2 linked regions of the Diceros bicornis minor genome follow. The protein of the gene in region 2 interacts with the protein of the main gene of each other region in a pairwise test. Links are inferred from orthologs where the notes say so. Each region holds a gene or a part of one and is shown on either strand. Other genes may lie near its edges.

What was found.
Region 1: the proteins of RPP30 (region 2) and RPP14 interact in binary tests that used the Homo sapiens proteins (3 or more experiments, as listed by UniProt). The link is inferred for Diceros bicornis minor from reciprocal best matches to the Homo sapiens genes RPP30 and RPP14.

What each region holds. Positions count from the first base shown.
Region 1 is NC_080741.1:58,209,774-58,226,617, reverse strand, and holds RPP14 (ribonuclease P protein subunit p14), read right to left. Parts: upstream 8,736-16,844; 5' UTR 8,613-8,735; intron 7,717-8,612; 5' UTR 7,644-7,716; intron 5,331-7,643; 5' UTR 5,310-5,330; coding exon 5,233-5,309; intron 5,142-5,232; coding exon 5,057-5,141; intron 2,332-5,056; coding exon 2,255-2,331; intron 1,812-2,254; coding exon 1,733-1,811; intron 1,269-1,732; coding exon 1,212-1,268; 3' UTR 1,185-1,211; downstream 1-1,184. Other genes in the region: HTD2 (hydroxyacyl-thioester dehydratase type 2, mitochondrial), read right to left, coding at 586-1,092. UniProt on the Homo sapiens protein: Component of ribonuclease P, a ribonucleoprotein complex that generates mature tRNA molecules by cleaving their 5'-ends.
Region 2 is NC_080745.1:56,934,106-56,949,900, reverse strand, and holds the start of RPP30 (ribonuclease P protein subunit p30), read right to left. Parts: upstream 8,263-15,795; 5' UTR 8,246-8,262; coding exon 8,164-8,245; intron 6,686-8,163; coding exon 6,630-6,685; intron 5,979-6,629; coding exon 5,922-5,978; intron 5,510-5,921; coding exon 5,435-5,509; intron 3,684-5,434; coding exon 3,612-3,683; intron 1-3,611. UniProt on the Homo sapiens protein: Component of ribonuclease P, a ribonucleoprotein complex that generates mature tRNA molecules by cleaving their 5'-ends. Also a component of the MRP ribonuclease complex, which cleaves pre-rRNA sequences.

The sequences.
Region 1 (16,844 bases), on a different chromosome or scaffold from region 2:
AACCTGCACACAAGCCCTTCTCTCAATTCAGGAAAACCATGTGAAAGGCAAGTGCCACTGAAGGTTGAGCAAGATGCCAGCTTGGTGTAAACAGTAACAAATTACAATAAACTCTGACCTGGAAACTGCTGAAAAACAGGAACTAAGAATATTTACCGGTAAAAGGTAGGTGCTCAAAGATGACCCAACTTCTATTGTTGCCTTCAATAATTAAATGCCAGCTAGTTACAAATGCAGTGAGAAACTTATATTCTACACAGATATAGGTAGGTTTATTACTTTTATGCAAATCTAACTAGGTTTCAAATCCTAAAAGCAGAACCTTTAGCTAAATGAAAAATTTCCCAATACTTTTGTCATTTTTAAAAACCTAGACAAATGATGAATATACTCACATCCGTGTGAAGCATAAGGCCAAATTGGAAAGTAGACATCTGAACACCCCTCTACCTGTTCCCCTCCCCCTGTATGGGGTTCTGGATCTCTCAGCCACACCTTGGTGAAAAGCAGCAATCCCTGTTTTCCTCAGAGACTCTTCAATAACAATAATATTAATGCCTGAATTTGCATCTTTAAACACATATTTCAGGATTTGGGAGCTTCTGGGACCATAACTTTAACCCAGCCTTCCATAACAGTCTTTTGACTGTCTATTACAAAACATGACACCGCAATAATAGCAATGAACCGCTTCAGCTTTTTCACTTCTGCAGAAGCTGAAACAACTTCTCCAACATATAAAGGGGCTGGAAATTTAATTTCCTGGGAAAGAAATACACAACCTGGCCCTGGCATTTTAGTACCCAGTAGAGCTGAAATAAGTCCATTGATCAAAACTCCATGTACAATTGTCTTTCCAAACTTGGTGTGTTTTGCAAAATCTTCATTTAAATGCAAAGGATTGACATCTCCCGTTAATTCTGAGAAGGTAGCCACGTCCCTCTGTGTGAAAGCCCTGCTGAGTTCAGCCCGGTCTCCAACTCTGATGTGCATATGCTGAAAGTGCTGCCTGCTTAACACTGCTTGGTTTAGGCGGATTCTCCTCTGAAGCCCACCCCACCAAAGGCAATGGCTGGAAATTACTGGGAACATCTTGCAGCACCCCCAAATTCCACCAACAGGAGCTTTTAGCCTGCTTCAGTCTTCAAACATTGTGCTAGTACCAAAAAGTTCTTTTGAGAGCAGAGGAATGTTGCTGAAAAGAAGACTACTCAGTCCAATACTAGTTCCCTACTATTACCAGATAATGCAAGGAGAAATGGAGAAACCTATAAGAGAAAGAAAAAAGTTAATGCAATATCAGGAGAAAACTGCACTGAAACACAGAACAATGTAGAAACATGCCCAGTTTTACAGAATAAGCCAAGCTGACGGAGTAGCATTTTAAAGAGCATCCTGAGCATCTAAGCATCCTTAGATCGACAAGTGGTCGTAAGCTCAGAAAGAGCATTCCAATATATAAGACACTAGGCATTAAGCTATAAATGAAATGTTAAGACTTTTCCACAAGAGTTCCAAGTTTTATCCCAAAATATCTCCCATATAATCTAAAATCTAAGTACTTTGTCTCATACTTTTGGAAGCAATGAAGTCCTGGATTGCCACCACCACCGCCGGGTGGATGATGGGAACCATACTAAAATTATGCAAGCACAAAAATGGGACATATATTAAAAAGCAGTTTGATCCACTACTCAGCCTCATTTGGAATATGTGAAGGAATAGTCTTTACCTGAATCACTCTGAAAGCACATTTCTTGCCTTTATAGGATCCTAACAGAGTCAAAGAGCTCCATAATTTGACAAGACCACTGTGGAAAGATCAAGAAAGCATAAAGATTTGTCCCTGCAACACTTCTCTTGTACTTTTGTTTGTGATGCTCCAGAAAGTAGTTTCTACCAGAAAACCTAATTTAAATGAGAAAACTTTAAAAGTAAAAGCATAGTATGTCAAAGGCAGAGAAAAAAATGAAGCTCAACTAGGAATGTTTCTAAAATATACATTTCTGAGTTTGCAACCCATGACCATCAACTGGGAAACACTACAGTTGTAAGCAAATCACAAGTTTTGCTCTCTAGAGTGTAAGCTCCTGATGGGTGAATGTTCATATTCTCCCCAGTTTAAACTTCCAAAAGCTGCTCAGAGCTCACAACGACAAAACTCTTCTCACTCTCAGAAGAGAGCATTTCTGCTCTATTTCTCCATCCGTCTCTCCGCTCTGTTATACTGGAAATGTACCACTGTCTGTCGTACCTGCTACATATTCTCAAGATGGCTGATGAGGTCCTCTCTTCGTAGGTCAGGATGTCCAAGGGTAAGGCAGCATCAACCTAAGCATGGAATAATGCTGTTAGCAGACTATTATCATCATTACCCTTGAACTCTAATAACCAATCCTGTCAACTGCTTTTCTCCTCCAAAAAAGCAGTATTTTATTTAATGGTGCTGCAGTACTGAGCCTGCTTATTTACAACTTCCCCTGCCTGGAATGTTCTTCCTGGACTTCCTCATGTTGCTAATGCCTCTTCATCCTCAAGGCTTCGTTTAAATTGTTCCTTCTCTGATCCCCGACATTAAGCTCAATCGCTTACTATGCTCTTTCACGCACAGGACCCACATACTTCCTCTTTCATAATACTCATCATTCTTGCCATTAATTGTTCGACACGGTTTCCTATTAAAATAACCAAGACCATCAGTCCATGAGGCAGAGGCTATGTCTGTTTGTTTACAGCTATATCCCCAAGAACCAGGTTTTATACCTGACACATAGAAGGTGCACAGATTTTTCTTTCTTAAACTTTTTATTTCAAAAAATTAGAGTCAGAGGAGATTGTAAAGAAATGTACAGGAAGGTTCCATACACTGTTCACTCAGCCTCCTCTAATGTCAACATCTTGTATACCTATAGTACAGTATCAAAGCCAGGAAACTGAAATTGATAACCCAGAGTTTATTCAGATTTTACCAGTTACACATGCACTCATATTTGTTTGTTTGTGTGTATATGCATAGTTCTATGCAATTTTACCACGTAGGTAGTTTCATGTAACCACCACCACAGTCAAGATAAAGAACTATACAACCACCACAAGGCTCTCTCCTTCCACTCCTTTATAGCCAAACCCACTCCTCATTCCCATCCCTAACCCCAGGCAACCACTAATCTTTCTCCAGATTATATAATTATGTTATTTCAAGAGCATTATATAAACGGAATCACCCAGTATGTTACCTTTTGGGACTGGCTTTTCACTCAGCATAACTCTCTGGAAATTCAGTTAAGCTGTTATGTGTATTGGCAAGAAATTTTCACATACTCAGGTATATAGGGTAGCTATTCTGGTTTAAAACTGATTTGGCTTGCACTACAGAAGCCTGACTTATGGCCTACCAAACACACACTGTACATCTGCTTTAACCATTAAAGAATGCATTAAACATGATCTCAAAGTAAAAGAATGCACTCTTTGAAGATAAGAATGCATACTTTCCCTCCTACAATGCCAGTATCAGTAACACCCACATCAGTACTCCTGAAGTTCCCTTTCCCTGACATCAGGGTCATGTTGACCTGCTAATTTGCAACTGAATACCTCTTTCAAACTTTGATGAATACATATCCTGGGCATGTTTAATGTATGTTCTTTGTTTTAAAAAGGTATAAAACTACTGAAAACCATGTTTCTCTGGAATGCTTTCTTCCTTTGTGGAGACTGCCTTCCTGGGTTATAATGCTCAGCTTGGCTCAAGTAAAGCCTTATCTCTTTTACAGATTGGCTACTGATTATTTGCATTGACAGTATCAGTAGTTTGTTCCTTTTTATTATTGAGCCTATTCCACGGTAAGAATGTACTGTACTTTAACTATTCACCCACTGAAGGACATCTGGCTTATTTCTGCTTTTGGGTTCTTCTTAATATAGCTGTTATGAACATGTGTGTACAAGTTTTTGCGTGAACATAAGTTTTCATTTCTCTGGGATAAATGCCTAGGTGTGCAATTGCTGGTTGTATGGTAGGTGCATGTTTAGTTTTTTTAAGAAACTGCCAAACCATGTTCCGAAGTGGTTGTACCATTTTACATTCCCACCAGCAATCTATGAGTGATCCAGTTTTTCCGCATCCTTGACAGCATTTAGTGTTACCACTATTTTTCATTCAGTCATTCTGTTAGGTAGGTGGTGATATCTCATTGTGTTTTTAATGTGCATTTCCCTAATGGCTAACAATGTTGAACATCTTTTCATTCATGTGCTTCTTTGCCAATTGTACATCCATTTTAGTGAAATGTCTATTTATGTCTTTTACCCCTTTTCTAATTGGATTGTTTGGTTTTTTACTACTGAGTTTTGAGAGTTCTTTATATATTCTAGATATTAGTCCTTTATCAGATATGTGGTTTGCAAATATTTTCCCCCAGTCTATAATCTGTCTTTTCATCCTCTTAACCAAGTCTTTTGCCAAGTTTTAACTAAGTCAAAGTTAAAGTTTTTAATTTTGATGAGGTGCTTAGCAGATTTTGATTTGATAGAATATACGAATTAGGAAATAACTTCCTGAGAATCATGTCTTTGTTCTCTCTCAAAACTCTACTTGTTTTCAAGTGAATGCTAAAACAGGACTACTCAAAGTGATGGTCTATGGGAAGACAAAGAACTGCTTTATAATGTACATCAAAAATATCACTAAGCACACTGTTTAGTTCAGCTCAGTTTTTTTCATATGGAGACCTTCTCCGTAAAGAAAGCGGTGTGCTGATTTACATTCTGGTGAGAGCCACCAATGTTTGCAATGGGTAAAAAAACAGTCTGCAGGTTGCCAGTCTGGACCATACTTTGAGCAGCACTGCACTAAAACAAACATTTGTCTAACAAGTTCCTTGTCAAATAGAAGGCATATTAGAACAAACCTACCAAAAAGTCATCATTTCTGAGTCTGCTTCTGCAATTTCAAACATGGTTTTAAAGTTTTAAAATGATGTTTGGAAAAGTGTTCTTTCAGTATTTCTTACAAAGATCTTAGGAGTGTCTGATGTATCAAGTGATTCCATACCTCCCCAAACAGGTCCTTCAGGGCTGAAACAAGCAGTTGTTTGAACTGTGCAGCATTCAGTCCAACCCCACAATCTTGAAATTCTCTGTAAAAAACATTAAAAAGAAAAAATACGTTGCATTAAATTTCATGCTATTCAGATTCATCAAAAATAGAACGTAGGAGACTGAACTTACAGGCAGACTTTCATGTAGTGGTGCTCGGAGGGATTTTTGTAAACTATTCTTTCATATGTGGTAGCTGGAGCTGGCATCTTTCCCAGTGCTGATCACACCTACATTAAGAATCAAGAGAGCTAAAAAGAAGTGGTATATATACACAATGGAATACTACGCAGCCATGAGAAAGAAGACAAAATCTTGCCATTTGCAACAATATGGATGGACCTTGAGGATATTATGTTAAGTGAAATAAGCCAGACAGAGAAAGACAAACACCGTATGATTTCATTCATATGTGGAAGGTAAACAAACACATGGATAAAGAGAACAGATTAGTGGTTACCAGAGGGGAACAGGGTGCAGGGAGGGCGAGAGGGGTAAAGGGGCACCTATCTGTGGTGACGGATAAAAATTAGACTACTGCTGGTGAGCGCGATGCAGTCTAGACAGAAACTGATACATAATAATGTACACCTGAAATTACACAATGTTATGAACCAATATGATCTCAATAAAATAATTTTAAAAAAAGAATCAAGAGGGCTGGAAACTACCAAGGTACAAGCTATTTTTCACTTTTTTAATGAGAATTTGACCTATTTGATTTTTTAAAGAACTCCTAGTACAGTAACTCATCTAATTCTGGTCAAACTAAGGTTACCTGTACACACACAAAGGAAGTTTCTACATTTTATATATGCCAGACCACTGTACTCTTATTTAAATTCTAATAATATAATACCAGCAAGCATTTGTCCTGAGTACCCAGTTCTGTGCTGAACCATGTCACATGCCTTAGGTCATACGTCTTCAAAGTCATCCTATGAGGTAAAAGCTATTATTATGTCCATTTCTGATAAGAAGACATTGAGGCTTGGCAAAGATAGGTAACATCTGCCCAAGGGCATACTGATTCCAACCACTCCTGAGCCCTATCAAAACCACTCTGGTATGATGCCTCTTAATCAAATAAAAGTAAAAGCATAAAGGAGTAAAATGTGGGATCTGAAGACCCTCTTCTTGTTTACTTTCAGTCAACATACAACACGAACACAAGAATGAAAGGTGGTAGTTCTGCTGTCCCCTCCCATGCTGGATCTGCCTGTGCTCAGGCTGGAGGCGAGGCCTGCGCAGGGCTATTTGGCAGCCCTGTGAAAGACTGAGCTTAAACAGCAAGGGGTTGGAGAAGAGGAATGCCTGGAATGGGCACTCAATGCCATTTCTAACAGATCTGGAACTTTCAAGAACTCAGAACATACATACTGATCCCCCGGTAGAGAATCCCTGTCCTTGGCTCCACTCCCACCTCACTCTCCCTCTGGAGGCTCCTACTTATCCTTCAGATTTTAGCTTAAAGTTCACCTCTTCCAGGACTTTCCCTTTTCAGGGAGACCTTCTTTGACACCTTGTTCTAAGTTAGGTTCCCTTGTTAGGCAATCTCTTAACATTGTCCATTGTTTAAAGCACCAGAAAACTGAGGCCTAACCAAAGAAAGGGATTTTTCCAAGGTCATATAACTACAGACCAGCATTTACAAAAACATCTCTGGGTCAGGCCCAGTTCCAACCACTCCCAGATAACAAGCTCCAGAGAAAATGAAAAATCAGGGTCAAGGAGCTACATCCAACCATCCATTCAACAAACGTGAATATTTACTGTTTGGCACAGAGTAGGTATTCAACAAACACTGAATATATGACCGACTGAATGGTGGTAGTGTTAGCCCTCTACGCTCAAGAGCATCTTCGGTTTCAGGACTGCAGCAATAGTTACTGGGTGCTTCTTTCCCAATCACTAGTCTCCCGACCAGAATGGCAGCGAGAACAAGGACCCTCAATCATTTCATTCATTGCCTGGCACATGACAGGTGTTTTGTTTTTGTTTTTATTTTTTGGTGAGGAAGATCAGCCCTGAGCTAACATCCATGCTAATCCTCCTCTTTTTGCTGAGGAAGACTGGCTCTGAGCTAACATCTAGTGCCAATCCTCCTCCTTTTTTCTTTTCCCCCAAAGCCCCAGTAGATAGTTGTATGTCATAGTTGCACATCCTTCTAGTTGCTCTATGTGGGACGCGGCCTCAGCATGGCCAGAGAAGCGGTGCGCCAGTGCGCGCCAGGGATCCGAACCTGGGCCGCCAGGAGCAGAGCGCATTACTCAACCGCTAAGCCACGGGGCCGGCCCATGACAGGTGTTTTTAAAGTGTTACTGAATGCCTCGATGGAGTTGGCTACCCAAGGTAGGGGAATAAGACTGTTCCTGGGCTTAGGATGCCAATAACAATGAAGACTTAAGGAATGTCCTGGAAATGGATAGTAGTGATGGTCACACAGCAATGTGAATGTACTTAATGCCAACCAAATGTACACTTTAAAATGGTAAATTTTATGTTATGTATATAAAAAAAAGACTTAAGGGGCAAGTGTTTACCAAGCAGTCACCTCTCCACAGGCCTGAGCATCAGGGTCAAGGTCAGCGACAGCACTGCCCTCTGCAGGGTGTCCTGAGATTAAAGGAGATGATGCCTGAGAAACCCTCCGTACAGCCTGGCATATTCACCAGGCTCACCACAGAAATGTGAGCACCTCTATGGTGTCATCATCATCTTTGAAGGCAGCCTTTTTAATGGATGCAGGGATGCTCATTAACTGATCTGTTAGTAAGAGGTGTCCCTGCCTCACCTTCCCTCCCCAATCTAGTCTCTACAGCCTATTACAACTTATTCAAGCCACGCCATGCCTCTGCTCAAAACCTTGCAATGGTTCCCATTTCGCTCAGAGAAAAGCCCAAGTCCTGACAGCCGCCTGCAAGGCCCTCCCTGAGCTGTACCACCGCTTCCTCCGACGCTCTGACCTCAGGTCCTACCATTCTTCCCTGCTCAACCCCTTCCACCACACGGGCCTCCCAGCTCCTCCTCACGTTTCCCTCCCGCCCCTGGGCCTCGCTCCTAGCGTTTCCGCGGGCTGGGAAGCCTGTTCCTCCAGGTAGCCACACGGCTCACTCCCTCGCCTCCTTCACAGCTTTGCTCAAATCTCACCCCTCGATTTGGTCCAGTGGCTATTCTGTCTAACACGGCACCCACCTCCACCCCCCCCATGCCCCTGCTCTACTTTATTCTCACAGCACTTACCACTTTCTACCATAACTATGTAATTCACTTTTTCTTTCTTTGTACCCCCTCCCCTCCCCAACAGAATGTACCATCCACAAGAAATAGGGATCTGTCTCGTTCACTGCTGTTTCCCAAGAATCTAAAATAGTGCATCGCACACAGGAAGCATTCAATATGTAACTTTTGGACAAAGTCAATAACTTTTTTCTAAAAGCTCAATCGCCTACTGTTGGGTACTTAGTGTTCAACTTTTTTCGACTACTGTCCGCCCCTTATTTAGCGCCCACCTGGCGGCCGGCGCATGCGCTCTGTACACGTGGTCGCTCTCAGTCCTCGCAGCCACCCTCTGCTACCGAGACCGCGTCGTACGGCAGCCCGGGGAAGTTCCCGGCCGGGCCTCGCCTTCCGCCCGCGCCTCGCCTTCCGCCCGCGGCGTCCTCGGCCGGAGCGGAGAGGTACCTCCGGCCGCTCAGCGCGGCCCGCCGTCGCTCCCGCCTTGCGCATGCGCGCCTGGCGCGGGTGGCCATGCGTCTCCAGCGCGGCCAACTGAGCCCACCCCCGGGAAACAGCCGCTCTGCTGTGGGCTTCCGCCTACCCGCTCTCCGTCCGACCGGCCTGACGCCTCCCTGACGCCTGTTTGCTGCAAGAGTCAGCCAGGGCTTGGAGCTCTCACGTAGAGGCCGGTGCCTGGGCCGGAGAAACTCCGGGGTTGTTTACGTTTGGCTCGTGTCTGCCCGCCGCCCACCCCCGGATGTGTGACGTCTAGGCACGGATGTGACGTCACCGCGCAGAGTTCTAAGGACCCAGGCGTCACTCCGGATCAGGAGCTGGGAGCGCCAGGCTCAGTGCCCTCTGGTGCCCACTCCGGAGACAGCCGTGTGTAGGGATGTATGCATGGGGTCAAGGGCTCCGCGCATGTGTATTTGGCCCGGGTTCGCTTCATAGTCATGCATTTACCCATGCATTTATTCATTTAACAACTTTGTATCTAACATCTCTTCTGCTGAGCGTCTCGTAGGTCAAGCACTCCCCAAGGACAGTGGTCCTGTCTCCACACGTAAGCCCAGTTTCATCTGTGCATTTATTCAGTAAGTACTTGGTGAACGCCTATTATAAATGCTAGGTACTGGGAACTCAGTGGAGAACAAGATACGGTCCCTGCGCTCGTGAAACATAGTGTTTATATTTAATAACAATAATAATAGCAGCTAATATTTATCAAGTACTTTGTGCCAGGCGCTATGAAAACAACTTTACATATGTTATCTCTTGGAACTCGGGCACGATCCTAAGGTAGCTATTATTATGATCATCTGTTTTACAGAGGTGGAAACTGAGGCGCAAGAGGCTAAGTTACTCACCTAAGATCACAGTTGTTAAGTGGTGGAGCAGGCCGTCTGACTAGATGGTGCTCTCCACACTGCGCCACACTACCACCAATTGTGTGCTATGAGTCGGGGCGGGGGGTGGGTATGGGAGAAGGGCTGGGGCTGCCAAAACTCGACTGTAAACCCCCTTGTCTTGGAGTGTAAGCCGGGTGAGGACTGGGCCTTGTCTGTTGGCTCACCGCTGTATTCCAGTGCCTGGCACTCGACACACTTTTACTGAATGCAGTAGTTCATAAATGGGTGTGCTGATTCTGCCTGGGCTGGGGGCAAAGGGTTACCCTGCACAGCCAAGCCTGAGCCTGAGTCAGCTGGGACCTTCTCTCTCATTTCTTATCTCAAAATCCCACTATCTGCTATTTACTGAAGCTTCAATCCTTGGCTGTAGCCATGTTCTGTAGTCCTGAGGCTTCTGCTTCCCTTCCTTCTCCCCTCAGAGGAGACAGGGCTTGTTCCAGATGGGGGGAGAGGTAGAGGAAGTCAACATAGACCCACGGACAGTGACATTTCTCGAAAGAGTTTGGGTTTCAGAAGCTGCCACAACTCGCTTCAAATCCATTCTTTGCCACTTATTCCGCTTCCTCATCCGTCCGTCACACGGAGTGATCAGTCGCATCTGTCTCAGAGTTGTGAGGAAAAAATAGTTGGTGTGAAATATCTGGGACCCAGATAATGCTCTGTAATAGGGGAGAGTCCCCTAAACCAGCCACCTGGCAAACCCATCCTGCTGGGCTGCAGCCCCGAAAGACCAGAGCAGCTCGTGTATTTTGGACTTGAAAGAGCTTGAGTTAGTTTTCGCTGTCCTGCACCGGATCCTGAAATGGAAGGGGCTTCCAAGCTGCTTGAATTCTCTCTGCTGTCTTGTTAATTCAGAGTTTAGGGCAAGAGAGATACCTTTGGATGGTAAAGACAATAGTTGGTTGACTTTTGTTTTCCAATTAAATTTTATTTACTTTTTGAGTAGATACTGCAGGCATGTGGCATACACTTCAAATGGTCTAAAGGGATAAGCAATGAAAAGTAAGCTTCCCTCCCACCCCTTACCCAGACAGCCTCTCTCTCCCCAGGGGCAACCACTGGCATGAGTTTAAGTCATATTTAAACTTAGTTTCCCAGAGATACGGTAGGGGGGCCTTCCCCTTTTAACAGTGTGTCTTAACATCACTCCAAATCAGCACACAAGGCTGCCTCAGTCTCTGTATAAATTGCCCAGCGTTGCAGTGGGTGGAGTCAGTTGGCTCATTCAGGGCCATTCAGGACACTCTCTGTGTCTGTCTCTGACATTTCAGAGCAGAGTTGTTGGGGCAGAACTTCGAGTATTTAATGTTCCTGCAAGCTATGGCAGCCAAGAAAGAGTTGAGTCCACACTTCCTCCGCCTCTGCTGTGTTCAGCTCCCCTCCCTGGCCTACCTTGCAAACTGGTACCAAATGGATTTTGCTAAAGTTGAGGAGCTTTCACAACTTTGAGAAGAAAAGGCAAGAGAGAGGCCCAAGTAAGATCATAGTCCCTTAGCATCCACAGCCACAACTCTCCATCAATCACATGGGAATTGTATCCGCTTGTGTCAGCAGATTGTGAAGATAGGACAAAGAAGGTGAAAATGATCAGAAGTGAAAAGCTACGAAACTGCAGCTGTTTCCATTCAGGGAGACCTGCCAAGTGCCGGATAGCTTGCTTGCATTATCCCATCTACTCTGCAATGTCACTATTATTATTGCCTTTCACAGATGAAGAAAACATATTCAGAGAAGTTAAGTCATCTGTCTAAGGTGGTGAGAGGCCCCAGAACCTAAAATGCAGTATTCCATCCCTGCTATGTGATGACAGGGCTGGGAGCTGCTCCTTTGAGGCAACCCTGAGCATTATCTCCAAACAGGAAGCTTTGAAAAGCAGGCCTGCTGTCTAGTCCCTAGAGCCAAGCCTGACACAGGGAGCCTCATGGAAGTGATTTATTGGGGGATGGCTCTCATGTGAAACATGTAAGGGAGGAGGGAAGCAGGATGGGGCAGGGGAAGAAGCTAAGCAAAGATGTGGGTTCAGCTGAAGTCTAGCCTCAGCCTGATCCCATAGGAAGTCCTGGAGCATAAATGATATCAGAAAGTTTCCAGCCTTGGAGGTAAGGGGCCAAGTCTTACTACTCCCCCTCAGTCCGTCCTTGACTGCCAGCTGCAGGGTTGCCAGATTGAGCAAATAAAAATACAGGTTGCCCAGTTAAATTTGAATTTCAGATAAACCATGAATAGGATATCCTTATACTAAAAAAGTATTCACTGTTTATCTGAAATTAAATTTAGCTGGGCGTCCTGTGTTTTATCTGGCAACCCTAGGAGGTGAGAGGAAGAGAATAGAGCATAACCTCCCAGGCAGGTGCTGTCATCTGAGGGCAGTTCTCTGGGGGAAGGGGCAGCTGTGAGCCCTCAGCAGCCAGCTCACAGCAGGTGAGGGTTGGGTGCAACAGTCAGTAGAGGGGACCTGGGAGGGATGGCAGCAGCATCCTCTACAGCAGGGACTGCCAGGGCAGCTCACCAGTCACTGGTAAAAAACAGAAGCTCCTGCCCAGACTGCCAAGTCCAAACCATCCCCATCAGCAGGTGAGCAGCAGGACGCCCTGCCCCAGCCCCCAGCCCCCTCCCTGGCTGTCCTCTGAGGGTGTTTTTGCTCTTTTAGAGAAATTCTCCTGCTTGTGTTGGGGCTGGAGCCGAAGCCAAGCTGTTTAACTTTGTCTCATCTAGCATTTCTGAGATATATTTAAATGATGGAGGAGACTTTCCTGAGAAACCTCTCCCCAAGAAAAGGGCTCCAGAACCCAAGAAAGGGAGAATTTGGGGAGGGGATAGCCACTCTGTAATTAAGCAGCCAGTTTCTGGAGGACCCTAAGATCCTTTCTTAAAATTCAGACATCCTCTTCCAGGGATTCAGAGGGGTCCTTACAAAGATGTCACCCCCCACAGCACACACACTTTCTCTGGAGGACTCTGCATCCCCATTACAGGAATCTGTGGGTTCTGACCTACAAAAGCTCCAAGATATAGAGGTAAGTGAAAAGAGCAAGTGGAGGTGGGGGGGTGGGCAACAGTAATGTCCAGCATGGCTCTGTTTATGTAAAAAAGAAAACCCACAAACTGACTGCAGTGTCCTCTCTGTTTATACGTATGTATGTATGTATGTATGTATGTATGTATGTATAAGCCCCCATACACATACATAGAAGGGTTCCAAGTGCACTGATGGGGGAAGGGTGGGATTGTGCAGAACGTGTAGGAGATGCTTACATTTTTTTAGTATACGTTTTGTTTGATTTAGTTTAAAGTGACAGGGCATCATTTTTATAATACTAATAATTGTTAAATAAAAATCAGGACTTGCCCCTTATGGTCACAAGAGGGAGCTGTGGACCGCACCGTCTGCCTGCCTCTCCTACCTTGGAAGAATAGGCTCCTCCTCAAGATGCTGCTTCCCACTCCCACCCCCCACCCCCAAGGCAGGAGAGATGGAACTAGAAATGCCGGCTGGCCATCCTTTATCTGCAAGCCTGAAATCCAAGAAAAATCTGCAAACGAAATCTTTCCTCATCTGGCACCAATACTTAATCTGAACTGAGGTGAAGCTTTTTATAGCTTTTGTCCCATTTACTGTGGATATTCATACATTGCACAGCAGAAATATGAATGCATTTGATCATGTAAGGCAGCCCCAGACCCCATTAGAGGTGTTACATAATGTATGGTTTACACACCACGATACCTTTCTAAAATTGGAAAATTTCTGAATTCGGAATCACATCTAACTCTGTGCACTTTGACATGGGAGTGTAGACCTATACTCACGTCAACAGTTGCACTTCAGTGACGCTTACCCACCCCTAGCCAGCTTTGACCTTGGGTAATTGGGATTGTAGTGCCACTTTCTGCCCCTAAGAATCCTTCCAACTCCTCCCATCCCCTGCTGGAGCTTAGCATCTTCCTAGGTGTGCCCTAAGGTTCCTGGTCATTGCCTTGAGGGTTTAGATACCAAAGATCCAGAAACCAATGAAGGAAAGGTTCTTCCCGGAGCCGAGGGGGAGAGGCTGTCCTCTTGCTGAAAGGAGCCATCAGGTGTCCTCTCCCTTTCCCCGACTAGGCTAATGATGGTCACACAACCCCCTCATTCTGTCACAGGCACAGGCAGCCCAGGCCCACATCCTGGTGATTTCCAGCCCAGCAAGCAGCAACACTGGGCCCCAGAGCCCCAGGGCAGCAGGGGTACCTGGACAGCAGCCCAGCACTGTATCCCTCTGGCTCTGACCTTGGTGGGTAATTGGAGGACATCTCCACTGCCCCATCTGTGACCACTCCCACTCCCTCCACAAAACCTTCTATTTTTTTGCTTCCTTTCAGGGAATGGAGGGGTTGTATGTGCGTCATCCAATTTTGGGGTGGATGGGAGGGGGAGGGAGAAGAGGCTGATGAGAAAGCCCAGTCTGTATGTTAAAGGAGTGATGTTGGAAGAGTTAAAAGATGAAGGATCAGAAGAGCCAGGCTGCCCACTGTTAGGGGAGAGTGTGTCTGTGTGTGCCTGTATGTGTGGGTGGCAAGAGACAGACAGATTGGATGTGAGACAGATAAAGTGATGAAATGGAGATGGGGCGAGGGAGGGGAGGAGGGGAGAGAGAGACTAAGAGTGTTAAAAAAAAATTGCTCCCAAACCTGGGCAAAGACTATTCCAGCAAACATTTCTGAAACAGACGTAATAAACTGCCACTTTTTTGTGTGTGTGTGAGGAAGATCAGCCCTGAGCTAATATCCATGCTAATCCTCCTCTTTTTGCTGAGGAAGACCGGCTCTGAGCTAACATCTGTTGCCAATCCTCCTCCTTTTTTTTACCCCCAAAGCCCCAGTAGATAGTTGTATGTCATAGCTGCACATCCTTCTAGTTGCTGTATGTGAGATGCGGCCTCAGCATGGCTGGAGAGGTGGTGCGTCGGTGCGCACCCGGGATCCGAACCCAGGCCGCCAGTAGCAGAGCGCACGCACTTAACCGCTACGCCACGGGGCCGGCCCTGAACTGCCACTTTTAATAAAAGACTTCTTGGTCTAGTACAGGCAGTCCCCCAAAGCAGAAGGCTGGTACCTGTGGATGTTAAAAGCTGCATACATCATTTTAGAACAATGCTAATTAACCAACCCATGATTGTCCTGAGATCGATATCCAGGGCTTGGAAAGTAGATAAGAGGACCTAAATTCAGCATTTATATTTAATTAAAACCTACAATTTGTCTGAAGACAGTGGAAAAGCCCCTGGCTGGTAAGAAGTCCAAAGCGTTGACCTTCCCTTCAAAGGGTGCCTGAGCTGATCCCAAGCAGAGCCTCGCCTGCTTTTGGAGTGGCAGCTAGGAGCAGGGCCACATCTCTTGATGCTTCCCACGCCTGACGCTGAGGGGCAACAAGAAAGACAGAGGAGACTTCTCCTCTCCAGAAAACTGCTTTGGACAAAAACACTGATGATCATTTCCAGAGTATGGGGGAGGGAGGAGGCTATCAGCAAGGTGAATGAGCCCTCCAGGGAAGGCTTGACATCAGTCCTGGGTATTAAAGACACTGGAAGGATGAGGGCAGGCTGTTCCTTGAGGCAGCCTTAGCAGGATGATGGTGGAACCCAGGTGAGCTTGTTTCCTGCCTAGCAGGAGGCTGGGCAATGGGATGTCCTTAACTATTTGCTGAGTGAATGACTGGGTCACTTTCCAAGCAGAGGCCCGAGGTGTGGTCTCAGTGATCTGTGGCTGAAGCTGTCACACACTGGCCTGGTCCAGGTGGCCATCAGGGCCCCAGGCTCCACTGGAAGTCGGGCCAGAGAACTCCTGCCTGAACCGTGAGAGCATTCTCTTTGCAAGTCACCTTCAATCATAAACCAAGAGGCTTCTCTCTACTTGTTATCTGTCTGACCTTGGGCAAGATACTTCACCTCTCCATGTCTCAGTTTCCTTGGCTGTAAAATTGGCACAGGTCATAGGTACTTCTTGGGGCTGTGTGAGAGCTTGATACGGTGATACATGAAAAACATTTAGAATATGCCTGGCACATCGTCACAGGATTCAGTCCTCCAGCCTGGCCTGACATTATAATCTCAGCACTTTCTAGGAACTTCCTTTGGATAAAACAACAAGTAAGGTTCCCTGGGATGGGGAATACTCATCCCCATGGGGCTCAAATGGGAGACAGACTTACACACACGGACAGCACCGTCAAGCTATGTTTCTTGCATCAGTCACTCCTGATGTCGCCTCTGCCCTGGACAAGAAGCCCAGACTGACGGCAAATTGAGTCCTAACCACTGCCTGTCCCTCAGCCTCTTCAACCTGCCAGGAGGGTCCACCGTGAGCAGCCCTGAAGGCCCGACTCCAGGCAGTGAGATCAAGAGCCCACTTGTGATTCCTGGGGCTTTCCATTGTTATTTCAGAAGCTTCTGGCAGTCTTTCAGGCAGGGCTGTGATGAATGACCCCTTTCTTCTTTCCAAGACTGTCATTAAAGGCACACACCACAGGGCCTAGCTGGGTGTGGCTTGGGGGGCAGGCAGCTGGCAGGAACTAGCAAGCTCTTCATAATCACAAAGGCAGGAAGCGGGGTGCCAAAGGGAGCCGTGCTTTACTGCTTTCGAGTCTTCCTAGCACGGTGAGACGAGAACTGCAGGCCCAAGGGAGAACCATGAAAACCCACTTGATAGGTCTGTCAAAAATGACTCAGGGCCGGCCCCGTGGCTTAGCAGTTAACTGCGCACACTCCGCTACTGGCGGTCCGGGTTCAGATCCCAGGCGCGCACCGACGCACTGCTTCTCCGGCCATGCTGAGGCTGTGTGCCACATACACAACTAGAAGGATGTGCAGCTATGACATACAACTATCTGCTGGGGCTCTGGGGGAATAAAAAAAAAAAAAAATGACTCTTTCGTATGATCTGTCCGTGACTCCCAGTCGATGTTTTTGGGTGACAGCAGAGGAGTGGGAGCTGATTCCTCTGCAGACCCTGCCACTGTCCTTCCAGCACACGCCCCTGCCTGGGTGACCCCACTGTGGGTGCCCTGCAGCGGCTCCTCTGGATGTGATCCTGAGCTGCTGGTCAACCCAGGGCATAACATTTCCTGCACCTAGTAGGGTT
Region 2 (15,795 bases):
GTTTAAGTACAAGTACATTATAACAAACTTTCAGTTACAAAGGACAGCTCTACTTGGCTCCCTCTGACACCTCAAACTTACAATGTCTCAAACCGAACTCTTTCGTTATCTAGCTTTCTATTAATCCAAATGTTCAATTGACATATTTAGATAACTATAAAATAAGAGATAATGTTCACATTATAAAGAAATACTTTCTAAATCATTAAAAAAGATTAACTTCTGTCCAAATAATATTTGCGGTTAAGAATCTTATCATAGTGGTTTTGGCAGGTTGTATATGAATTCATAGCAATTGTTCTTATCTTTTTTTTCGTCCAAAGACTCCTATGAGGATTTAAGTAAGGTGTATTCCCAAAACTGCACATACACACACAATTATCTTTGATCTTATGGAACAAGGAGAACAGATGGGTAGGGGTTCATTCTCCCCCAAATTCCCTTAATGGATGTCAGGTTAATACATCTTGGCATTTTATGATAAAATAGTATGCAAGGGAGAGTCAGGCTCACCCAGGGAAAAGAGAGATTGCCCATAAACAGGGCCTCTCAACCTAAAGTGTGAAAAAAACAAATTCCCTTGAAGAATTTCTTTAAAATGGAGATTACCAGGCCTGACTCCCAGTAATAAGTTTAGTAAGTAGGGCCTAATAACCTGCATTTTAACAAAAATCCCCAGCAATTCTGAAGCCAGTGGAGCCAGACTACACCGTGAGAAGCACTGTCTTGAAAGATCTTCCCTCTCCTTAAGAGCCTCAGGTGTTCACTGCATACTCCACAATACTGCTCTTCAGAGGGTAAGGCATGGATTTTAGAAGCTGGAAGAAAACAGAACTTCCATTTCCATTTATTTTTTAATTCACTCTTAAAATTCGTTTGTTTTGTGTGTGTATATTATTTCATAAAGCATAGTGGTATAACGGAACATGCAAATAATTTATAAGAAAATAAACATACACATACCGGGGATGCAGGCTGAATATTTTTTTAAATTGATAGGATACACAATCAAAGTAGTTTGGAGACCACTGGACTAAATAACCTGAATTCTCCTCACCCTTTCTAGTCGCTTTAAACCCTAAATGGGAATAACTAACTCAGAAGCTCCTGAAGCTTCTAAGTAACTCTCTGCCACATTCCACTGCCGCCCCCCAAACCAAGAACGCCTGACCAATGGATTCCCCTTACAATCTTTCATCTTTGCCTTATCCCCTGGAGTAACTATGGAGAAGAAGGGTTTATTTATGAGACATCTTCCAGATACTCTGAGTGGAAAATAGTTATGTTATTTTCCATGGAAACAATGCTATTTAAGGTGGTTAGATTTTATACTACTAATTGTTAACATATGTGTGTGTATGCTTTTATGACTCATCTTAGAGACCTAACTTAGCTTTAGAGTATCATATCTACAGGGACACTTGTTTAAATTCTAGATAATCCACTTACAAACTAAACAAATAAAATCATTTATAGAATGAAACCTGTTAAGCAACGAACTGCTTGCATTTGATCCAATTCCAAACATGATATACTTACAAAAGCTTTATGATTAAAAGAAAGACGTCTTTTTAAATTGATTTTCTATAGACAACAGAAAGAGAGTGATAACTTCAGCTGAGTCTTAAAGAATGGGTAAGATTGGGACAGATAAGATGATGTTCCAATTTTAAAAACTGTTTTTATGTAACTTTTTGAGTATACCTGTACAGTCAATTGCAAACAAATACTTTGTGAATTATTTATAGCTTTCTTCCATCTTCCAAAATATTTCCACCCCATCATCAAGCATGTGTTCATGCTTTTGAATTCAAACTTTCAAATAATCTGAGAAAAACAAGTACTAAAAGTAAATAAGACAAAATCACTAGATGAAATTATAATGTATTCTAAAACCCAAAAGTCCTAACTCTACTACATACAATCCGAGACTTGCAGCAAATCATTTAACCTAAGTCTCAATTTTCTCTTCTACAAAACGGGGATAGTAATAAATATTTGTCCTGACTACCCCCAGGATTGTTGTGTTAGAAGTAATAAATACGTAAAAGCCTTTGGAAGAATATATAAATGTATGCCTCTCAGCTGTGTGACTTGTTAAATGTTTTGTTTCTCTAATTACCAGTAAATGGCTATGGAAATGTAAGTTGCGTGCTCTTCAAAATCAATTCAAAAAATAAATGTACAACAAAAAATTGGGCACATTGCCAACTTTTAGTCTACATTATAACTGAGTTATTATTTGAGTTATTATTTAACAACAAAACTAGGTTGCTGTTTAACAAATTTGAAAATGTCCATGGTCCACCTCAAGGTTTCCACAATGAATCAAAATCCTCTGTGGAACTTGAGAAAACAGATACCCAGACTCAACCCCAAAGCTACTGGATCAGAATCTCCAGTAGTGGAGATATGAACCTGCCTGATTTTAAACAGTTCCACAGGGGTCTCTGATGAGTAAGAACCACTCTATCCTACTCACCTCTTTTCCTGAAATGAAATTTTTGGGAATTACTATAATTGAACATTTTATAAAGGGAGTCACCAAAAAAAAGGGCATTCATGGATAATTTGTGCTGTTTCCTTGCATTAATATAAACAATTAAGAATTGATAGCATGCCTTGAAAACTAAATTTACGACACATCAGCCTCCTTAGTCAACAGCTCCATCTACTGGATAAACTTAGAGAAAATCTTTCTATAATTTTAGAACAGGTTTTGCTTAAAAAAGAACTATGGTGTAAAATTAAAACATCAAAGACCAGTACATTTTTTTTTCCTACAATATCCCTTTTGCAGATATTCTTTTGGCAGATGGCTATTTTTTGAACCTAGATAAAGCCAACATTCAGAACTTCCTAAAGTAGCTATACTTCATTTTACACAGTAAAACATACTCCTGAAAAACTATTACAGTTGATTTTTTTTTTCTGTAATCATTTAAAATGCCCAGGTGGTCTTCTCAAGTTGACAAAATGAGCATACATGTTAAACAACTTTCTCTCCTGAAAAGTCACAGAAATGGCAATTTTAAAAGTATAAAAGGAATTAAATTTGAAAAGGCTCTCAGAACACAATGGGAAACAGTATCAGCAGAAGGTTGATTTTGAGGAATTTCTGGAAGACTGAAGGTTGACATCATCATGCTGGCATGTGGACCAGACCTCAGAGCATGCAAAGGAGAAAGCTGAAAGAGAGATGGGACCTTTTATGTCACAGCAGAACCTTGTACCTTTCTTCCCTCATAGGCAGCAGCAAACAGTAAGAAGGGCAGAAACTGAAGTGATTTTAGAGCTACAAAGAGATGGAACAACATTTACCTAAGAGAAGTTTCAAATGAATGAACGAATGAAGCAGACATAAAGAAATAGAAGAAAAACTTGATGGACTTTTTCAATCTGAGCTCATCAAATATCTAGCAGTATGAATAAAACAAAACAAAACAAACACATGCCACCTAAATACCCTTGTGGAATTCCAGAGCTCCAAGTATAAATGAAAAATCCTGAAAGTTTCCAGATGGGGCAAAACAAGTCACCTACAAAGGCATAACATCAGACTTCTTACATAAAATAATAAATACTATTTTCTTTTACTATCTGTTACTTACGTGAAAAAGTTTCTCTGTCTTTGGAAAAACTGCAACGATATCATACAGCCGGACCCTTGAAGAAGTTGCTCTCTGGGAACACAAAAAGAATGTTATCATGGAGTAACAACAAGTATACACATGGAATTCTGACTAGTGGCCCGGCTGTACTTAAATTTCAATCATGTAACACTTCTCATATGCCGAGGACATTTCTGCTTTGTTTTGTATGTTGGCAGAAAAGACCTTTGAAGCCCATGAGAATTCAGATACCAACATCCATTCCACTAATCATCCCCCTTCCTTCCTACACTGTTACACTTTGTGTACTAAACATTGTATTCTCTCTCCCCAACTAGATGCTTCCCACCAGCAGGCACACTCAAGTCTCTCCCATCTCGAGAACAAAATCTAGACAGCAGGTCTCATCCACCAACCTCTCTATGCCTTCCATTCCCCTATGGAGTCAAATTTCTCAAGCAAAGTCACCATCACACTGTATCCATTTTCTCACATCCCTACCATTTCCATGGAAATGGTTTTTGCTGAGGCAACCAATGACTTCCCCATCAATAAATCCAAGACATTTTTTAGCCCTTCTCCTGCTTCTCTACTCAGGCACATTGATGCTGCTGACCCTTCCTCACTTTTCCTTTCTCACTTTCCACGCTGTCCTTCTCCTTCTCAGAGTCCCTCCTCAGTCCCTAGCTCTTCCTCCTGTACTCCACCATTAAATGCTGAAGTTCCTCAGGACTCTGTCCCAGACCTTCTCTTCCCACATCACACTTTAATCAGGGAGTCTCATCTGTTCCCATGATTTCAATTACTTTCTACAGGGCGACCCCTTCCAAATCAGTATCTTTAACTGGGATCACTTTTCTGAGCGCTACACCTTTTATCCCCCAAATGCCCATTTAACAAACTCCCCTGGAACTCTCATAATAATCTATTGTGTCCCAAAAACGATGCCCTCAAACCTGCTTCTCTTTGCTTTCCCCTCGGGAAATGGTTCCCTTATCTACCTTCCAGGTTGCTCAGGCTACGCCAGGGAGTCATCATTCTACATCCAACCCACCCTCAAATCCTGTCAATCCTCCCCCTAGATGCCTCAAAGCCCCTCCTTAACCCCTTCTGACCCATTCTCTATAATGCAAACCTGATAATTTTATTCCCTTGGTTAAAACTTTCAGGGGCTTTCCACTGCTCACCCAGACCTACCTCTCTAACCTCATCCCAGGTTAGCCAGCTCACTAGGCTCAGCTCTACTGGTGGTGTTTCATTTCCCAGAACACACTATGTTTCTTTGGCCTCAAGACCCTTGCATAATCCATCCTGTCTGTGGGAACACTCTCTCCACGTATATAACACTTACTGATTCTTCTGGCCCCAGTTTGAACATCAACCTCCTCACGTTGGCTGCCCTGTTACATGCTCCCAGAGCATCCTTTATTTACTATCTCCCACTTTTTAAATCTTCCTCGTGTTTTTAATTACTATTTGTATAGTGTTTGTCTTGCCAATTAGACTATAAACTTTATAAGTTCAAGATTTGTGTCTGTATTCTTCACAGCAATATCTCCAGCACCCACCTTATATCTGGTTCATGTGAGTTCAATAACAGTGGCCAAAGGAATCTTTAACTGTGGTATCCCTACACATGTGCCACGAGGAGAAGAGACTTTGTTATACTATATGAATTCTGAGGATAGGGAGAGCAGGCAGGTGTCACACATGGGAGGCAGTGGGGCAATGTAAGAAGAGGGTGAGTTGAAAAACAACACCGTTCAACATTAGTCAATACAACTTATAAGGCCAAAAAGAGAGAAGAAAAATAATTAACTTACCAAAACATTGCAGTGAGATGGATCCGAAACGATAATCGTCAGTCGAGTTAAAATTTTAATTGGTCTTGATTTTCCCTATAATCAAAAACATGCTATCGAAAAAGCACAAAATACAAACTATTGATTTTCCTCTTTATCAGTGGAAAGTACTCATTAAAACGTCCCAGCAATAAGGGATTGTGAAGATTAGTAAAACCTAGTCTTCATTCTCAACGAGTTTATGATACAACGAGAGGAAAAAAAAAGATGTACATACATTAAACTACATAATGAAATAATTTAAAGGTTGTAGGACTTCAGGAAAAGAGGATCATCAAAGTACTGAATCGATAGTAAGAGAATGTTTCAGAGAAGAGCTGAGTCTTGATGGAAAGGTAAGACTGGTCGACAGAGGAAGGGGCAGTGCAGGTTAGAGAACTGTACATATAAATGGGCATGTTTGAATGAATGAATAGATATTATGCTTCTTAAACAACAAAACACCTACCTGTACAATTGGCAAAGTTGTAAAGAGTTCAGAAACAGCTATTGGTTTTTCAATTTCCTACAACAAAGAATCAAAAGTCACCCCAGATTGTACATGTTAATGGGACGGAGCCTATGGAAATGGAAAACTTACAAGAGGTTTTCAGGAAAGATAATTAAAAAAAAAAATGAGAAAGCTAACTTCTGGTATTCAGAAACACTAAAGTTTTTTTGTTTTTTCTGTTTATTTTTTAAAGGAAGAAAGCTGAAGAGCAGAGAAGTAGCTGAGCATATCAATGGACAGGAGAGATGAAAACTAGTGTTTAGACTGAAATAATCTATAAGGTACAGTTGTTGGCCAAAAGAGAAATATACATATTTATCAGTATGTTTCAGGGGGAAATCAACGAGTAATGAGTCCATAACAGTAAAATAAAAAGGACTAAATATTGTGATTACAGTTCAGTCAATAACAATGCACTTTTTATAAGTTATTGAAAGTTACTTAAGTAACATCAAATCAACTTTAAAAATCCTTACCCCACACCTTAGTACTTCACAAAAAACTTTATCACTAGCACAAATATGCATCAGCTCAAATGTTAACATACAAAATAAGACAGTGCACAGAGTACATTTAAGAAATATGCTCATCTGTAACTTCCTTATTACCAATATAAACACAAATAATTATAAATTCTGGTTATTAACTTCAGAAATTGTATTTTACCTGTTTCTTTTCCTTAAATTCAACAACATGATTGATGGCAACAACTGAATAGCCCACTGAAAAGAAAAATTGAACATTCTTGTTAAATATAACCACCTATCTTTCCTGTACACATAGGGTCATCCCAATTCATGTCAAGACTAGAACGTAGTCAGCAGAATGGTTATGGGTCTGGGCTCTGGTGTCAGACTGCCTGCTTTCAAATCTAGCATCACCCCTTACATGTTACTTAACCTTAAGTTGCAGGTTCTTCATCTGTCAAATGGTGATAATAACAGAACTTACCCCATATGTCTGTCACAAGAATTAAATGAAATAACACAGGTACGATGTTTTACAACAGTGCCTGGCACGTAGTCAGGGCTTTATGTGACCTCTGTGATGTACTATTAGCATGATACTAAAAACCCTTAACTTTGCGCTTCTCCTTTCAACCATCATTCTCTTTCACATCTCTCTTTTCATTTTCATCCCATCACGTTTATACCTTTTCACTGTCACCTTTATTCTCGCTCATTTCTTTTGCTTTTTACCCTTTCTACTTCCTTCAGAGGCCCCTTTCCTAAGGAAAAATGGAGTAATGACTCCTCACACCACTGCCCACTGCCCCTTTTGAGCTGCCCACCATCAATAGATTGGGAACTCTTTGAGGCCAGAGTCTTGTTTTATCAGCAACACAGCACTGTTCTGGACATTTGTACTACCAAAAACATGTCTAAATCTTGACTCCTATCTTTAAGTTATTAAACACCAATGGGGACGACACGATATTAATATTAAAAGATAATGAATATTAATGCCAAAATAGTGATCCTCCCTCTCATCAGTTTGTCCAACTTCCTTCCTCCCTCAAGTATTTATTGGGCCCCCACTACTTGACTGGCCCTGCAGAAACCTCTTTATTTTTAAACCTCTCTATCCCCACACTTCACAATATGAGAAAGAAGAAAGCAGTCACGATTAACTCCAATAATTAAAACGGGGTCTTACCCCTCACGGCTTTCGCTTCCCTTGGATTCAAACATGAGTAATATCCTAGCATTTTGGCCATGCTGCTCCCCTCCCACCCGCCTGCTATGTCCCCCGCCCTCACCTACCCACCCTCTAAATAATATTATTCCAACACTCGCACCCCCATATCCCTCCTCCTCTTCTCTGAGCCCCCACAGCACTCCTCGTCTGTGCTGACACTGTCATGAGAGGCAGGAAGGGGTGATATTAAAAGCACTGGTGTAGGAGACTGTACACTCAGAATCCCTGGCTTCTGCCGCCCATCAGCTGTGGGGCCCTATGCAAATCCTCCACCCTCTCAGGGCCTCAGTTTCCTCAATTTATAGGAAAGAAGGAGCTGGAGTGGGTAACAGCTCCTCAGTGCCTTCGAGTTTCCCGCGCCCAGGAAAAGCAACACCGCGGCGGGCATCAGCTTCCAGGGACATCCCAGAGACCCCAGGAGACCTGAAAGAGTCCCGGCCTTGCCGGGTCCTTCCCGAGCCCGGCCCGACTGTCTAGTGGGCAGCGAGGATGGGCGACTCACGATGAGCGGCGTTCTCCACGAGCCCGCGCAGCGCCTTCAGGTCCGAACCGGCACGCAGATCCAAGTCGGCAAACACCGCCATGCTGAAGTCACATGACGCCCGCGCCCGTCTGCGCAGCCGCAGGGCCCGCCCCCTCAGGCACTCTGGGAATTGTAGTTTACCTGCGTGGTCGGTGCCTCCCTCCAGTGGACTATTTAGTTTGAGGTTGGCAGGAGTTTGCCTCGCCTTCAAGTACTACCAAAATTAGTGTGTTGAAATCAGTGGCATCGTTTTAATCCTTCTTTGTCTTCTTCTGAATGAGAATGTTTGGTTTCCCCCGAAGGGGTTTAAATCTCCCAGCATTCCTCCTATAAAATAATGTAGAAAGTGAGTCTTTCGAAATGCACGTGTACAGGATTTATTGAGCGCCTACCATGAACCAGACACTTTTGTTAGGGGATGGAAACGCTTTTAAAAAGTCATAGGGAACCTGTTTTTCCTTAGTTCCCCTATAGTCTAGTCTGATGTTTAAAATGGATTTATCGGGAAGAGGAGGAAACCGACCTGAAGACCTCCAAAGAGGACTGCCCGAGAAAAGGGTCTTTTTGCCCAGTCAGAACTGACGGTGTCGCAGCACGCTGCTCTCTGTCACAGTCAACATCTTCAACCACAAGATGGCAGGGCTCTCTCTAGGATGAGCTGTTAACTCCATCACTGGTTTAGCCCAAGACAGGTTTGATAAAGGAAGTGCAAAATTGAAATGTTTTACAGTTTTCCATCTGAGAAATGTACAAGGTGGTGTATATCCCACGCGTTTGATGTTTCCACATTTTTGGACTTCGCATAAATGAACTCTTAAAGATTGATAAATCAATTATCCGACAACATAAAATTGTGGAACTATAGTTTACGTCGGTGCTTCTCAACTATCTTTGATGAAGGTCCAGTTTCCCTCCGCCCCCAATTCTTCACAGACCAGTATGTGGTCCCTTGTGCACTACCAGTAGGCACCTCTGGCCTCAGAAGACTCATTTGACAACTTCTGGACTGCTCTATATTGAGCTGAATAGGAAGAGTCCACTGACTGGGGGCTTGGATATCTGGACAAGGCCAAAGTGCTGTGAAAATTTCTAAACATTTTCAATTTCTGTGCTTACTTATCACAAACAGTAGACAGATAGTCTCTGGTCTGTGGGCCACACATTAATTAGTACCCCTTTACATGATTTCTTTCTTGGTCTTAGAAGGGAATTTTAAGAGGGATCTGTTCCATGTAGTAGCATGCAATTCTCCTCTTGGTTAACTTTTATAAAGAAGAAATATTTTGCTTTTTCCAATACTTGTTATTTCCTGTGTAAGAATAGAAGAAATTTTGAGTTCTGCAAATAGAACAAGGTCATACAAAGCAATCCCATTGCTTATCATCAGAAAATCTAGTTAATTTTGCAGGATCATAGAGGCATCTTCATCTATGACCACAAAATCTAGATTGGTCAGAAATATGACTGATGTGTGGTGAAGGTGAATGAGATACGTAATTATTCGATGTCAGCATTAGACTAAAGAAGCCTTCTCTGAAAGTCATGATGCTGTTGCTGTGAACTGTAGCCTTTAGAGTTCTTTGCTCATCTTCACCCTGGGCCTAGGTGAAGAGGAAGAGAAAGGGTGACAAGGAAAATGAATAGGTAACAGTCACTGAGCACTTTAATGAGGGCCAGCCAATTTGCTAAGTACTTACCTACATATCTTATTTAATTTTCAAAGAAAAATTAAGTACTATCTTTTAGCAACATCTGCGTTTGACATCTGAGAAATCTAAGGCTTAGGTAATGTTGGTAGAACTACACGTGGATCCAGGCGGTTTGGTTTAGTTCTCACTTTGTGTACTGTCTCCTGGGTAAAGCAAGCAGAGAGGAGGGTTGGAGGATGTGAAAGGAGGAGGGAGAGAAGATGAGGGAAAGGAAGAAGAGAATAGAGAGCTGGTGGGAAGAGGAAAGAGGAAGTAGGGAGGGAGAGGAAGGAGAGGAAGGAGGTGGAAGAGGGGAGGGAGGAGTGGGAAGAGACAGGATGTGATAGGGGACAGGAAGAGGGAAGAAGGGTCAGAAGTAGGCCTGGAAGAGTAGCTGAGGCAGCAAGGACCTGGAGTTTGAAGAAGACTCTGGAAATTTCTGACTGGAAATTAATATTACTGTACGATTCTAAGTACTTTGTATCCATTATCTGACTTAATCCTCACAACCAGTCAATGAGAGAGAGATTGTTATTCCTGTTAGATCAAGGAGGAGTCCTGCGCTCAGAGGGGAGGGCTCCTGAGTCATTTCCTCTTCCTTGGGATGCTTAGAAAGAGAGAGTGGGTTATGGGATCCAAAGAACCTTCAAACCCTTCTCAGTCTCCCGAAAGACCTCTGTTTGTTGGGCTGGCCCCTAAAAGTCAGTCTGTGCTCGGTTAGTCTTTGTCCTTATCCTCTTTTCATTTGGTTTACCCTTCCCAGGGGAACCGAGAAACACTCCACCAGGCCCCTGTCCTCTGGCAGCTTAAGGCTGAGGTGGGGCAAGGCAAGAAAGCAGTGTTGGATGATTTGCACAGGGGTGTCAGGAGAATCTGGCAAAGTCTTCTCTCCCAGATTGAGGGGGAAATTTGGGAGATTTGGAGAGGATAAAAGATGGTTTCCTGGAAGAGGTAATGCTTGAATTAAATTTTGATGCATGGAATTGAGGAGTAACAAGATGCAGAAGTCTGGAGTGTATCCAGAACTGGCACAAAGTGGATGGTACTCAGTCAAAGTTGCAGATTTAATATATATATTTATATATATGTAGAGAGAGAGAGAGGGAGAGAGAATATATGTATATTATATATATATAGAGAGAGAGGGAATAGAGTATATGTATATATATGTAGATATAGGGTATATACATAGAGAGTATACATAGAGAGACTATAGAGTATATATAGAGAGAGAGATGGAGTATAGAGCATAGAGTGTATATATACAGATACAGCATATAGAGTATATATATTAGTATACAGTATATATAGTATATATAGAGACAGTATAAAGCACATATATAGAGTATAGAGTATATATATATATACACAGTATAGAGTATATATCTATATATAAATAATATGTGTATATATATATGGAGAGAGAGAGAGACAGAAAGAGATTTTTAGAAAGGAATTGGCTCATGTGATTATGGAGGCTGACAAGTCCCAAGATCTGCAGTTGGCAAGCTGGAGACCCAGGAGAGCTGATGGTGTAGTTCCAGTCTGAAGGGAGGGAGGCTTAAGAACAGGAAGATATTTCAGTTTGAATGCAATGACAGGAAAAAGGCCTTGTCCCAGCTTGAAGGCAGTAAGGAAGGAGGAATCCTCCCCTATTTGAAGAAGGGTCAGCCCTTTTATTCTATTCAGGCCTTCAACTGATTGGATGAAGCCCACTCGTGTTAGGGAGGTTAATCTGCTTTACTCAGTCTACTGATTCAAATGCTAATCTCACTCAGAAAAAACTTCATACACACACCCAGAATAACGTTTGACCAAATATCTGGGCCCCCATGGCCCAATCAAGCTGATAGATAAAACTAACCATCACAATGATCCTGCCTTGAAATTGTTTCATATTAAGGGAAAAAAAAAAATTGCTCAGGCACCTAAAACTTTTTACCAAAGGCAAGTTTACAAAGAATGTCTATTGTAGGCAAAAGAAAGAACAGGTCCTAAACAGAAGCTAGCGTTTGCAAACGTAATAACTATGCTCAGTATGTTGGAAATATAGCTTAGAACTTGCAGAATAAAATACATGAAAAAACTAAGTTATTTCTGGCATTTTCTATTGCAGCTGATAGGCAAGTAGATATATAAAAGCTATTTGTGTTGTTGAGAATTTTGACATGACTAAATATCTTTTGGAAATGGTGCCCAAAAAGGCACATCTTGAGGAAGTGGCTTATTTTTGTGTATGGAGAAGAATTTTGAGAATTTTAAAGTAGACTTGGTAGAATAAGTAACCATGACTACAGATGGGACTCCTGCAGAGGTTAGTGTTAACACCAGACTTATGAAACATAAGCACAATCTGACAAGATTTTGTCAAGACACAGAATTTTAGCCAATTTATTGTACTATTGACCAGAAACCACTTTGAGCTCTAAACTTAAAAACTATACAAATAACAGCCATGGTAATTAACCCTGCACCCCCCCCCCCCCCCACACACACATGGTTCATGCTCCAAATAGCTGTACTGGATGCTGAGAAAATTTTGAACTGCTGAAAGAAATTTACCTATTAATGTTAGCAAGGAAAAAAATCTCCACCTGAGTTCATCAGTGAAGACTAACAATTTTGGTTCTTTCAGTTGATGATATAAGCCATTTAAATACTCTGAATCCCTCCCCTGGCCTTTAAAAAAGCATACAAACTAATTTGTTCATATATAGAAAAATTGTGTCTTTGGAAAATTCATCTGGCTAGGAATAATCCAGTTCATTCGCTGCACAGAAACTGGTTTCCAGATATGAAAATTATGGTCTAACTTCAAATTGCAGCACCAAATTGTGGACTTGAAGACTACAATCCAAAAAAGGTACTCTGATTTAAACTTTATCATAAACTTTATGATAATACTGCTTAATTTGCCCTTTTCAATTAATATCATTAATGTGAATGAAAATTACAAAAGAAGCTTTGCTATTTAAGCACTTACATAATAGCCTCAATTTTGCACCTCGTCCCATAAAACCTAAAATATTTACTATCTGGACATATGTATATAACTTTACAGAAAATGTTTGCTGAACCCTTCTTTAAATCAGTGTTCCACAACAGTGTTGATACCCTCTATTCCACCTCCCAGCCAACCCAGGGGGGCATTTGAAAATTTGTGTGGGTATTTTTTTGCTTGTCACGATAGTTTATTGTTTTAAATTTATTGTTGTCAAAATAATTGAGAAGTGAGGTGGTTGCTCTTAGCTTCTAGCTTTTAGTAGGAAGAGGCCAGGGATGCTAACTATCCCACAGTGTATGAGAAAGTCTTAGACAATGAACACTTGTCCCTCGTCTTGCATGACTTTTGAATATCCTGCCAGATATTCACATGAGATAAAGCTTGTTTATCATTATCTGAGCCTAGAACCTACAAAGGTTTTATATATAAATGCACAGCAATTTTTTCACAATTTTTATACGCATTGAATTTTCCAGGAATGTAACTATTGAGTAAATAGAGGGAAGACTGTACTTTGCTTTGCTTGGAACTATAAGAGTTTGTTGGAACTACACGAGAACTATAAGAGTTGTTCCCCATTTCAAAAAATCATGTCATTGCAGCAACACTGCTTTTGTTATTTGGGTTTTCAATGCAGCACACCTGTATCACTGCATTTATAGCAGTCACATTTATGGTGATTCATATATAAACACATTACCACACATACCCATACATACAAATATATATACACACATATATGTATATCATCGTTTTATATATAATCTATGTAATCATATATACATAAGTAAATATGTATACGTATTTAGCCCTTACTTCAAAATAATACATGTAAATTAGAAGTATTGACAATATTCAGTTAGTTATCTTAAGTGTAAATTTAAACATATTAAAATCTAAACATATTTATTAGAAGTAGATACTGGCATCTAACTACTACATTTTTGATACAGTGGTGCCCTGGCATTCACATACTTAAATACATATTTACTTATTCTTTCCTCTATCAGTACAAAATATTTTATTTAAAAGGGGATGCTATGGACTGAATGTTTGTGTACCCGTAAAATTCATATGTTGAAACTCTAATCCCAAATGTGATGGCATTTGGAGATGGGGTCTTTGGGAGACAATTAGGTCATGAGAGCGGTGTCCTCATGATGGGATCAGTGCCTTTAGAAGAAGAGACATGAGAGAGCTTGCTTCCTCTCTCTCTGATCTCCGCCATGTGAGCACACAGCAAGAAGACGGACGTCTGCAGACCAGGAAGAGGGTCCTCAGCAGAACCCACCCTGGCACCCTGATCTTGACTTCCCAGCCTCCAGATCTGTGAGAAATAAATTTCTGTTGTTTAAGCCACTCAGTCTTTGGTAGTGTGTCACAGCAGCCTGAACTAAAACCAAAACCAGGGGTTTTGGATCTTATAAGTTGAGAATTATTGCCTTGAATATAAAATCCATTGTGCAAAGAATTTATCCATGTTCAGAAGTATTAATATTTCTGCATAATAGTCTTTGGTTATGAAAAAGTGAATAAAACTAAATATTGCTTTCAGTTGGAGGAATCAAGGCTAAATTCTGTACTACATACAACAGTGCAAAATAATAATAATAAAAACCCACAAAAACAACTCAGCACTTTATTTTGGTTCAGAAAAAAGAAATGCATTAAATTTCTAGTCTAAATCCAAGGAATATTGAATTATTAAAAATCAGTTAAATATTTTTATTTCTCAAGTTGTGCATTTTCAATTTAAAATGTAGTCTATAACACAGTTTCTCAACCTTAGCACTATTGACATTTTGGGCCAGATAATCCTTTGTTGTGGGAGGTTGTCCTGTGCCTCTACCTGCCAGATGCTAGTAGCAGCCCTTCAGCTGTGACAACATGTCTCCAGACATTGCCAAATGTACCCTGGAGGGCAAAATTCCAGGCCAGTAACATTTAAGTGTTCATGCCAGGTAACAGTAGGGACAGAGTATTGGCGATTTTTTTTTTTTTTGAAGGAGGTTTCAGAAAGCCAGAGGGAAAAGGAAAGGAACAAATTTCCTAACTATAGGGAAGACATGGTTTGCTTTTCCTCATGTAGTAGGAATCTTCAGGGAAGTGGGCAAAACTGTCGGAGGAATGGATGCTCCAGGTACCCAGAGAGGCTGGGCCTTAGACCCTAGGTGTCCAGGCTTAACCAATGTTCCCATCCTCCTGAAGGACAAAGGAGGCACAGTGCTGCTTCACGGGATTACGTGGGCTTGGACAACAGTGAGAACCAGAGCAGCCTTCTGGAATGTTCTGCTTTGGGTGCAAGACTCCATGTCCATCATGCAACCTGGAGGTGGGGCAGGGGTCGAGGAGGTCACAATAATGATTGGAGTTGAATTTCCCATCAGATGAGTAGAACGGGGGCTCAGCGTCATATTTAATTTAATTTTAGAAAAATAATGTGACACCTCTTACGCAGAGTAAAATTGATACCTACCTTGCATGGCACACATGTTTCCTTATGATCTGCCCCCAACAAGTCTACATTTACTACTTCCAATGCATTTTACCTGACACAGGTTTGGCAAGTATTCCACATATTTATGGGATCCTGTTGGCATTGCACTCCCCTTTCCTCCAGTCTACTAATGAAATTTCTACTTGAGCTGAAATGTTAGCTCTGTGAATTCCTCGGTTTCCCCAGGCAGGGCCAGTGCCTATTTCCTCTGGGCCCCAGTATCTTTGGTTCATACCTATATTATTAGGCTTTTCACACTGCACTGTCTCTTCTAACAGGCAGTGAACATTTGCAGAACTTACCTTCTTTATCCATCCCTAGCACTCAGCACAGTGCCTATTAATATGTAGCTGGTACATGTTTATTGAATGACTGAAATAATGAATCACGTATAGTCTTGCCTGGAAATGGGACATGAACAT